3 linked regions of the Canis lupus familiaris genome follow. The protein of the gene in region 1 interacts with the protein of each later gene in a pairwise test. Links are inferred from orthologs where the notes say so. Each region holds a gene or a part of one and is shown in the gene's direction. Other genes may lie near its edges. The genes, in order: USP15, MAD1L1 and TRIM21.

Region 1 (3,648 bases):
CTAGGGTGACTCTGTAATGTATCATCTAAACTAGAACTCTTTTAAAAATAAAAGGGGCCATTATTAATCATTATATTACCAGGACAGCAGGTTCATCCAGGGCTGAGACAAAGCAAATTAGAATATATTGTCACCTGCTTTAAAGAGAGCATATAGAATCAAGAAGGGGGTGAAGGGTAAAACTCTAAAGGAGTTTGACAACCTTGGTAATAGGTTAAATAGATGAGGACAGAAAGCTAGGGGTAGATTGATAAGTGAATGGAAAGTGAAGAATTTAAGATAGTCATTATAGACATTACTTTTAACAAGGTTATATTTATAAAGCAGAGGAGAAAGGAAGATAACTAGAGGGGGATTATCAGAGGGAAGGCAATGAGAGACTGGGTTTTTGCATTTTGTTTTTTGGTTTTTGTGGGTTTTTTGAGAGACTAGTAGATTATTCCATTGCTTACGTAAGAATCAAGGTAAAATGACATAAAGGATGATTCCTGGGTTAGGTTCCCAAGGAAGTAGAACAGGATGGGAATCAGAACATAGATGCTAGTGGTAGCCTTAGATGGGAAGGGTAACATCTGATTCTCTTTCCCTGTGTAGAAAAAAGATGGAGAAAAGGACCTTTTAGAAGTTTGTTCAGGGACACAAAGTTGGATATTTTCCTATCCAGTAGCCTCTACTTTTTTTGGTATTCTGCTGATAGTGAAGGGAGAAATTGTAAAATAAGGAAGCCTAAGGAATGGTGAAGATTGTATATAGTTACTGGGAAAAATGAAAGAAGAAGCAAATAAGGGATGCACAGAATTTCTGGCTAGTGTTGAACAATCTGTTAAGATTTAAGCACTGTGGATTTGTAGCAAACCAGTCTCTAAAATTGGTCAGTTTTCTCCAGCATATCTGAACAGCTCCAAGAAAGTATAGCAAGAATAAAATTGAATAACAAAATAGTTAAACGTTTTGCAGTGGAGTATTGAAGTGATGGATCCTGTGGGATCTGGATGGAAGGGCGTGAAGACAGTAGGAAGCTGGTAAACCCAGAGAAAATTAAGAATTAAAACTAGAATTCTAAATGCAAGCCAAGAATGGGAAAATGAGTTTCCAGGAATAATAATTAGCTGTCAGTCAGTAGCCTGATAAGAGGTTTAAGATATCAGAGGTGGGGCAAGTTTATGACAAGGTGCAAGAAGTGAACTACAGTTGAATGTAAGTGTGGGTCTCGGAATCAAAGAGCGAAGGAACGATAAGGCGAAGATAAATTATCCATATAGACATTATCAGCCAGGGGGACGCCTGGGTGACTCAGCGGTTAAGCATCTGCCTTTGGCCCAGGGTGTGATCCTGGAGTCCCGGGATTGAGTCCCACATCAGGCTCCCTGCATGGGGCCTGCTTCTCCTCTGCCTGTGTCTCTGCCTCTCTCTATGTGTCTCTCATAAATAAATAAATAAAATATTTTTAAAAAAACAAAAAGACATTATCAGCCAGGATTAATGATAGGATTGGAGACGGACACTGTGAACCAAATACCAAGCGAATGTGAGGAGGCAACCATGAGGTCATTTTCATCTACTGAGTATTTCTTCCAAAGTAATAAATTCATTACAGCTTTTTTTGTTTTTGTTTTTTAGTACAAAGTGGTTGTCCCCAAAATTGGAAACATACTTGATCTTTGTACAGCATTGTCTGCTTTGTCAGGAGTACCTGCAGATAAGGTAATGTGTTTCTGGGTTTGAAGTATATAAGTTGGAATTTAGTGTTTCAGTGATGTAAAACCAGCCTAATAGAAATATGTTTCCTTTTAGATGATAGTTACTGATATATACAATCATAGATTTCACAGAATATTCGCTATGGATGAAAACCTTAGTAGTATTATGGAACGGGACGATATTTATGTGTAAGTATAAAATTCATTGTGCAAAATATTACTTGGGAAAAAATTCAGAGGGAATAACATAAAAGTTTTCAGAGTTTTACAGTCAGTTTTGTCCTTACAGGTTTGAAATTAACATCAATAGGACAGAAGATACAGAACATGTGATTATTCCTGTTTGCCTAAGAGAAAAATTTAGACACTCAAGTTATACCCACCATACTGGTTCTTCACTTTTTGGCCAGCCTTTTCTTATGGCTGTACCACGAAATAATACTGAAGATAAGCTCTATAATCTCCTGCTTTTGAGAATGTGGTAAGTGTCACACAATTCTACATTAACAAAATGAGTGATAGAATAGTTAATAAAAGTAAATACATGGTGTACTATCTGAATATTTTGGTAAGCTTGTATTATTTCAACTTTGTTTAAACAGGTAGCAATTTTAAAAATCAAATTATAGTTTATTTCACTTTCTTGACCATGTAAAAACACATTACTGAGGTAATTGCAAACCCAGAAAGCATGAATTATTTTAGCTGTTTTAAACTAGAAGTTTACAGTTGGAAAAAATAGGAATTTCTCATGTATGCACTCTGAAATTTTAACAAATTTCGGATGCTTCATTTCTTTATACAGATTGTTAGTTCAAGAACTCCTGCTAATGGTTTTATTTAAAAGGATAAACTTTCGGGCAGCTCCCGTGGCGCAGCGGTTTGGTGCCACCTGCAGTCCAGGGTGTGATCCTGGAGACCGGGGATCCAGTCCCACGTCGGGCTCCTTGCATGGAGCCTGCTTCTCCCTCTGCCTGTGTCTCTGCCTCTCTCTCACTCTCTCTGTGTTAAATAAATAAATCTTTAAAAAAATAATAAAAATAAAAGGATAACCTTTCATGGTTGATAGTATTTTAAGGCAACCCCTTTTTGTCTTCCTAAAACCTTGATTTGAATTATAACATAACCAGACTGCCATTTGATCCCTTATATTTTATCTTTTGTAACTGGCATATTTAGTAATACCTATTTTAATCATTACAGTCCCATAATCCATATATAAAGATCACATTATACAGTTAAAAGTAATCTAAATGAGGGTATTTATATAATAATTCTAAGTCAAGAAATTATTTGCCACAAACTTATTTAACACAGAAAGGTGTTAAATACTTGGAAGTAACAAATTACCTTCTTTCTTTTTATAAAGACAACCAAAACAGAAATGATTAGTCACTTGCACTTATGGTTCTATATCCTAAGTTTGATTTATCCTTGAATCTACTAAGTGCCCATTGAAAATTTTTGTTTTACTGAAAGAATAGAAAACTTTAAGTTTTTACCTTCATAGAACTAAATTTGATTTCTGATTTTATTTAAGCCGATATGTCAAAATTTCTACTGAAGCTGAAGAAACTGAAGGATCCCTACACTGCTGTAAGGACCAAAATATTAATGGGAATGGCCCAAATGGCATACATGAAGAAGGCTCACCAAGTAAGAATTCCCTATTAAATTATAAAACCTTTCACCTGGATTGTTGCCTCAGAAAAAAAGATGGGAGTTAAGGAGCTAAAAAATCTCTTCAAGCCTGGGAGAAATAATGTTAATATTAATAACTTTTAAATGTAGCTCTGGGTTTATTTAAAGATTTCTAATATCTAAAATTAGGTGAAATGGAAACAGATGAGCCAGATGATGAATCCAGCCAGGATCAAGAACTTCCCTCCGAAAATGAAAACAGTCAGTCTGAGGATTCAGTTGGAGGAGATAATGATTCTGAAAATGG
Region 2 (3,748 bases), on another chromosome or scaffold:
GGTGGGTATGTGCAGATCCTTCAGACTGTGGGTGGGTGGTGTGTGCAGACCCTCCAAACCCTGGGAGGGTGTGGGGGGGATGCAGGCCCTTTAGACCCTGGGTGTGTGTGTGCACACGCACAGACCCTCCAGACCCGAGGTGGGTGGTTGACGTGGGGAAGGGCCTTCAGACCCTGGGAGGAGGGATATGTGCAGACCCTCCAGACTGTGGGTGAGTGTTGTGCACAGACCCTCTAGGCTGTGGGTGGGTGGTGTGTGCAGACCCTCCAGACCCTTGGGTGTGCATATATGCAGGCCCTCCAGACTCTGGGTGTGGGCCTATGTGCAGACCCTGTAGACCCTTGGGTGTGCGTATATGCAGGCCCTCCAGACTCCGGGTGTGGGTGTATGTGCAGACCCTGCAGACTGGGTGGGTGGTGTGTGCAGGCCCTCCAGACCCTGAGTGGGGGGCAGTGTGTGCAAACCTTCGGGGCACAGTGCAGACCCTCCAGACCGACTGCTCAGGCGGGGCGCGGGGGTTCAGGGAGGAGGAGGTTCGGAAGGGAGTGAGAGCCCCGTTACTGGATGAGGGTCTCAGGCCGTCTGAGCTCACGGGGCCCTGGGAGGATAGCCGAGTATTTTGCTTTTCCAGTGATCCCGAGGAAAGGAAAGACGTACTAATTCAAGCTAACACACGCTGTAGTAGAATTTTGGGAGTTGTCAAGAACAGGAAAGTTTGGCCCGAGGAGGCCACCGTTGGGCGGTGCTACTCCGCACAATACAGCGCGAGCGACTGCCCCAGTGGAGGTCCGTCCCGTTGCGGGAGGCGGGCCCCCCCACAGACCCGCGGGCCGGCCTCTGGTGAGAGTCCGAGTGCGGTGTCCCGGGGCGGGCGGCTCTGGGGCGCACGCGGAGCTGCAGGACCCGGGCGGCGCTCGGGCCCGGGGCTTCACGGTCGGCCGCCCAGGTCTCGCGAGAGCGCGGCGGCACGTCTCGCGATACGCGGGCTCGGACGCCGAGGAGGGAGATCTGAGCGGCAGCGGCGGCGAGCTGCCGGGGCTGGGGCTGAGGTGAGTGGCCGGGCGCCGGGGTCGCCGGTGGGCGGATATCCGAGGCGGGCCCGGCCCCCTGCCCGCTGGTCTCTCCCCGCCGTGCTCGTTCCCTCGGATCCAGACCGGAGCTCGAGCCGGCTTCGGCGGCGGCGGTGCGGAGCGGGGTCGGAGCGGGGGTCGGAGCGGGGGTCGGAGCGGGGTCAGGGCGGGGCCGGGGTCGAGGTCGAGGTCGAGGTCGAGGTCCGAGCGGGGTCATAGGGGGCCAGGGGTCGTAGCGTGGCCCGGGTCGGAGCGGGGTCAGAGCGGGGCCGTGGGGCGGGACCGGGCAGACCCCACCGGGCGCCTGGGGTCCGGCAGAGCCGCCTGGGAGCCGGGGTTTGCAGCGGGGCGGCAGGGCCCCCCCGCCCCGAGTAGTGCCCAGGCCAGGAAGGGCAGCCCAGGGGTGTGATTTGCAGCGCTTGGGTTTCCGCGGTTGGGTTGAGGATTGGAGTCTCTCGGGTAAAGAGGACGGAGTTTGAGGACTGCCTAAGCGCATCCCCAGTGCAGCGCCTTAGTTCCAGGCGGTTGAAAGCGTGTGCGCTCTTCGTTCCGGGGGGAGTTACACGCATCAGCTCTTACAGGGGCGCCTCTCCGGACCAGGACTTCCCAGCTTGACTTCCCATCACCGGTCGGAGAGTATGGCCCCGTTCGGAAGGGTTTGCTTTCTAGAGTGGACCTCTGCTGTCCAGTGCAGCTCGGGCCTGCATCTGCCGCGGCCCTCAGCACTCTGTGCTTGCATGTCCTGTTCCGCCTTCTACTCCAGGTTTCCACATGCAGTGTGATTGCGAGGTCGAGAGGACAGCTGTGTTGTCTGGGGTGAAAACATGGCCTACAGAGGAGGGCTCTGTGTGCATAGGGCCAAGGTTCTCCCCAAACGGAAATTCAGAGTCAAACTAAGATTCCTCACTTTCTTTCCTCCTCTGGGGGGAACGTGGGGAGGTGTTTTCAATCTAACGCTCAGAGAAGTCCCGGTGAGCTGGCCTTTTACCTAAGAGGTGCCTTTGCTTGTTAACTGCACCTGAGATGCTTCCTACACACTGGTTGGCAGGTGTGAGGCCACCGTCAGCACAGGTTTGGGGATGCAGGTTTGGAGTTGGTTTTCTTTTCTTTTCTTTTCTTTTTTTAAAAATATTTTAATTATTTATTAGAGAGCAAGAGAGAGAGGACAAGGCAGGGAGGGGCAGAGGGAGAAGCAGACTCCCCGCTGAGGAGGGAGCCCACCCTGCAAGGCTCCATTCCAGAACCCTGGGATCAAGACCTGAGCAGAAGGCAGATGCCTAACCAATGCCCGGGGGGTGCTTGTGCTCTGCCCTCTGTGCCCTGGCTTATGGAGCACACCGGACTTTAGAGCCACACAGATCTGGCTTCTGGCCTGTTCTGTAACTTTCTGAAGCCTCGCTTTCATGGTGTGTGAAATATGTGTAGAAAGACCTCATCTCCTGTTGTGTGGCCTGAGATGTCCTGTGTGATGTTATAGGCAGAGTGATGAACTATGGCACCAGGCACCCCCCCATCCAACTTATGATGGATGCTGTCATCCTCACAACAACTGTGCAAAGTGACCCTCGTGACCGTACTTTCCAGATGAGTCCACACTGCCAATTAACTTCAAAAATGTGGCTGTGACACTGGAGTATTGTCAGGATTCTGAGGGAGCATTGGGAGAGTGGGGCCACCCAGAAGTGCCCCTGCCTAGACCTCTGGTAGAGCTAATGGTGCCTGCAAAGGCTCACCGTCACCCCTCCCTGTTTTCCTCCAGAAGCAAAGTGGCCATGGATGACCTGATGGAAAACACCACTGTGCTGTCCACCCTGAGGTCTCTGAACAACTTCATTTCCCAGCGGGTGGAGGCAGGATCTGGACTGGATGCTTCCACCCCTGCCCAAGGTTCTCTGCAGATGCAGTACCAACAGAGCATGCAGGTGAGTGCCGTGTAGCGTGAAGGGGTCTCGGGTGGAACATGTGTGCCCTTGACAGTTCCTTTTCCAGTTGCAAGTAGTCCAGGTGAGTGCTCTGTGTGCGGAGGGCTCTCCAGGTAAAGAGAAAGATTGGGTGTGTCATGGTCTCTGATTTTGGGGACCCATTTGCAGATTTTGGCCTCAGTCTGCCATGATGTGGCTTTTACAGTTTTCCTATAAGAAGTCTTACTTCATTTCACTTTTTTTTCTTTTAAGTATTTATTCACGAGAGAGGCAGAGACATAGGCAGAGGGAGATGTGGGACTCGATCTCAGGACTCCGGGATCACGAACTGAGCTGAAGGCAGGCACTCAACCACTGAGCCACCCAGGAGTCCCTCATTTCACGTTCTTAGAAACGCTTACTATTGACCATGAAGGTCTCCTGGAGGACTTGAGGTTCCACAGAGTTGTAGGGTCAGTCTCATGGGGGCAGGGGTCACTGGGTCCATGTGAGGAGGAGGTGCTGTCTGCAGCCTGGCCCCTGCCACTGTGCACTGCCGCCACATCAGGCAGCAGTCCCCTGCTTGTGCAGCTGGAGCCAGTCTTTGGTAATGGCCTGTGACAGAGCCAGTGGTGTCATGTGGCCCTGGGAGCCCTGAGGAGCCCCAGGCAACATTTGGTAAGAGAAATGCTCCTGTGTTTTTATGCATTCATTTGCTGAATGTTCAAATATTTTTTGTTTTTTTAGTGGGCTGAGTTGCTCACTACCATTTTTTGG
Region 3 (3,748 bases), on another chromosome or scaffold:
AGGTATACAGGGACAAAAATAAATATGTCTGAGTCGGAAGGAATTGAGAATTCTAGTCTCCTCACCCTTCCTTGTTTCTCCTTCCTCCTCACAGTCTCTGCTTGAGTTGACAGGGCAGCCTGTTATCTCTGGGCTGTCACTAAAATGACGGTCTTCCCTAGACCTTTAACTCTCATGCACCTCTTACTATGTCTCAAGTCATTTTACTCCATTCAGACTCAATGCCCTCTCCTGGAATGTGAGTTTAACATCTCCTAAATCACTAAATCGTTATGTGGCTTAAATATGTAACCTGACACAGTAACAGTATTCACAAGAGTCAAAAGATGGAAGTCACCCAAGTGTCCATTCACAGATGAGTGGATAAACAAAATGCATATACAAACACTGGAACATTATCCAGCCTTTAAAAGGAAGGAAACCCTGTCACATGCTTGTACAACATGGATGAACCTTGAGGACCTTTTAAGTGAAATAAGTCACAAAACAACAAATACTATATGATTCCACTTACGTTGGGGGCACCTAAAGAAGTCAAATTCGTAGAGACAGAAAATTGAATGTAGCTGCTGGGTGCTGAGGGAACATACTGTTTAACAGGCAACAGAATTTCAGTTTGGCAAGATGAAACAAGTCGTATGAGTGGTGCGGATGGGGATACAATGATGTGAATGCATTTAATGCCACTGAACTATATACTTAAAAATTGTTACAATGGTAAATTTTGTTACATATGTTTTACCATAATTTAAAAAAAAAAAAAAAGAAAACCTCAGAAAATCCCTAGCTCAGTGACAAGTACACCGTTGGTGCCTAATAAATGTCAATTCTCTTCTTACCATTCACTGGTATGACACCTGCCTTGGGATCGTGCTGTACATAAATCCCTCACCAGCTGATGTTAAAAGACTATCAAGCCTTTCCTGAAAAGGACTTGTTTCTGGAAGCAGAGGGTGACACGTAAGGGAGAGCCCCAGGCACGTTGTCGCCATCCCACCCTCCCTAACTCCCTGAGAGCAGCTCCCACTCGTGGGCGTCGCCCAGCACGTAGGTGTGGAGCGAGACGACCAGTGTCCGAGGAGGCAGCGTGACCCCTCCACCGTGGATGCGATATTTTCTTGTTTGACCCCGAGGACCTGGGAGGGGACGCGAAGCAAGGACTTGACGCTGCGGAGCTCGGACTTCCTGCCGCCTGGGGCTCCCGAGCTGCCCCGCCTGCTCCCCCGCCCCTCGCGCCTCCCTCTCCTCCCACTCCCCGCCCCTCGGCCCACCCCCTTCGGACACGCCTCGACGGGAAATCGAAAGTGAAATAGGGAGCCTGCCGCCGGCTGCCGAAAGCCCTGAAAAGGTGAGTGACTCGCCCCGACCCGAGTGCCCCCGCCCTGGCTGGGGGACCTCTCTCCCCTGCCCCATCTAGTCCTCGCCCCTGGGGCCTGCAGACCCGGTTCCCCCAGGGCTAGCCCAGCCCCAGCCCCAGTCCCAGCCCCAGTCCCAGCCCCAGCCCCAGCAGTTCCTCCCGGGCTGGCAGCCTGCCTGGGACGGGGCCCCAAATGTGAACGTGACACCCAAGCCCCCGGGGGCGCTGCCCTAAGCGGGGGGCACCGGGGCAGAAACCTAGCCCAGCCCGGAGTGTAGTCCGGGCACTCCCCTCGACACTTCTCCTCTGGGGGTGAGAGGGGGCAGGACAGTTTCAGACGCTAGAAACCTGTGGGTCTGTGCCCCAGAGGCAATGAAGCCAGCTACCAGGTTCCCAGAAGGGAGAGGAGAGCCCAGGGAGTGCTCAGGCACTGTTCATGTGCGCATATAAACATATACAGGTACCCATATGCACACATATACCTGCAGGTATATATACATACAGACAGATATGTAGAAATATATTCTTATGTATATAATCACAGATATAGAAGTAACTCCTGTGATTATTGTGCAGATAATGAAGATATTTCCAAAGCAGGTAGCACCTTCTCTGGCTTATGGAGTGTACAGAGTACATGGTCCCTGTCATACAGATGAGCTGCTCAGCAGCGGACTGGTGACCTGAGAGGGCAGAGAGTGGACAGGAAAAGCCTGGGACAGAGGATGAAGCAGAGAGGGCCATGATGAAAATAGAGTTATAAACAGCTTTATCTCTGAAGTTCTCAACAACATTCAGTTTCTTTGGGGGACTCAGTTTCCCCTTCTGTCTGACTAGGTAAGTGGATGAGACTAGAGAGGAGAAGCTCTTATTATTCAAGTTAATGTTCTGGTGTTGTTTTCACCCCTTCCACTTCACTGTTCCTTGTGTTTTCCTTTGGATTGTTTTTCTTCTCACACAACCCTTCTCTTCTGCTCATTTCCCTCTCTCCTCTCCCCACCAGGGTACCCCAGGATCTCCACAGTGCTGCTTACTAAGAACATCACCCCTATGGCTGCAGCAATGCCCTTGGCAATGATGTGGGAGGAGGTCACATGCCCTATCTGCCTGGATCCTGTAGTGGAGCCTATGAGCATTGACTGTGGCCACAGCTTCTGCCACAAATGCATCTCTGAGGTGGGGAAAGATGGTGGCGGCGTCTGTCCTGTGTGTCAGCACACCTTCTTGCTCCGAAACCTCCGGCCCAATTGGCCACTGGCTAACGTGGTGGACAACCTTAAACAAATTGGCCAGAATGCCAATGAAGTCACACAGAGGGAATGGTGTCAGGTACATGGAGAGAGACTGCACCTGTTCTGTGAGGAAGATGGGAAGATCCTCTGCTGGGTATGTTCCCAGTCCCAGAACCACCGTAACCACAAAACGGTCCCTGTCGAGGAGGCTGCTCAGGAATACCAGGTAAGGACTTAGCACAGAGGCCTGACCAAGTAGAAGGGAGCTGGGTCCGTGCTTGGGGTTTTGTTCTCCAGAGTGAGGGAGGCAAAGTCACCTGTGGAGTTTCAGGGTTGGGAAAAGGAAGGGGTTTCCCACCTTCCAGGTCTAATTGAAGCAGAGAACTGCAAGCTCAGGACAGCTTTCTCATTCCCCAGGACCAGGGAGTACGCTTGGGAAAACGCTGCAAGGATCACACTTCCTTGTGGCCTTCTGGTTAATTAGGAATGAGGAATGCTCCAACTCCACACCACCACCTCCAACAGCGTGGCTGTGTTTTGAAAGAAACCTCAGGCTCTTGCCAAAGTCTTCCCATCCCCAGAATCTCTATCCCAATCAGACTGTAGTCTTCCCTCTTTCTCTGCACTCAAGTTTTTCAAAGAACCAGCATGTCTTCATGGCGCCTCACCCTACTTCTTGGACTGGTCGGGCGCTAACCTACCTTTCTCTGCAGGAGAAGCTTAAGGTGGCATTAAGGAAACTGAGAAAAGAACAAAAGTTGGCTGAGGAGTTGGAAGTGAATACTGCAATGAAGAGAGCAGCCTGGAAGGCAAGTGTTGTGCTCCAAAGGGAATCTCAGGTCAGAAGCCAGGGCAGAGTCCAGGGCCCCAGACTCAAACCCTAAGCATAGCTATGCCCATCTGAGGAGTGATAATATATCTCACTCACCATGAACCAGCTGTCCTCTAGGTCTCTTGATAGAGGTGAATAAAAAGGAGAGAGCTCAGATCAGATAGCAAAATCAAGAGTCTTAGGAGAAGGTGCCATACCCTTCGGAGAGGTACAAGCCATACCCTAAAGCTCCTGCTCCTTAAGCCTAGTCTTAAAACATGACGGCACCTTTGCCTCCATGTCTGGTCAGTGGTCTCTCAGGAGAGATGCCCAATGGCTAGGCCTGTC

What was found.
Region 2: the proteins of USP15 (region 1) and MAD1L1 interact in binary tests that used the Homo sapiens proteins (3 or more experiments, as listed by UniProt). The two-hybrid records come from large-scale screens. The link is inferred for Canis lupus familiaris from reciprocal best matches to the Homo sapiens genes USP15 and MAD1L1.
Region 3: the proteins of USP15 (region 1) and TRIM21 interact in binary tests that used the Homo sapiens proteins (3 or more experiments, as listed by UniProt). The link is inferred for Canis lupus familiaris from reciprocal best matches to the Homo sapiens genes USP15 and TRIM21.

Annotation. Positions count from the first base shown.
Region 1 is NC_049231.1:5,982,399-5,986,046, forward strand, and holds part of USP15 (ubiquitin carboxyl-terminal hydrolase 15), read left to right. Parts: intron 1-1,620; coding exon 1,621-1,704; intron 1,705-1,794; coding exon 1,795-1,889; intron 1,890-1,989; coding exon 1,990-2,181; intron 2,182-3,240; coding exon 3,241-3,356; intron 3,357-3,530; coding exon 3,531-3,648. UniProt on the Homo sapiens protein: Hydrolase that removes conjugated ubiquitin from target proteins and regulates various pathways such as the TGF-beta receptor signaling, NF-kappa-B and RNF41/NRDP1-PRKN pathways.
Region 2 is NC_049227.1:15,032,277-15,036,024, forward strand, and holds the start of MAD1L1 (mitotic spindle assembly checkpoint protein MAD1), read left to right. Parts: upstream 1-1,566; intron 1,567-2,829; 5' UTR 2,830-2,842; coding exon 2,843-2,992; intron 2,993-3,748. Other genes in the region: proline-rich protein 2-like, read right to left, coding at 700-1,566. UniProt on the Homo sapiens protein: Component of the spindle-assembly checkpoint that prevents the onset of anaphase until all chromosomes are properly aligned at the metaphase plate.
Region 3 is NC_049242.1:26,907,239-26,910,986, reverse strand, and holds the start of TRIM21 (E3 ubiquitin-protein ligase TRIM21), read left to right. Parts: upstream 1-1,229; 5' UTR 1,230-1,348; intron 1,349-2,360; 5' UTR 2,361-2,407; coding exon 2,408-2,815; intron 2,816-3,302; coding exon 3,303-3,428; intron 3,429-3,748. UniProt on the Homo sapiens protein: E3 ubiquitin-protein ligase whose activity is dependent on E2 enzymes, UBE2D1, UBE2D2, UBE2E1 and UBE2E2.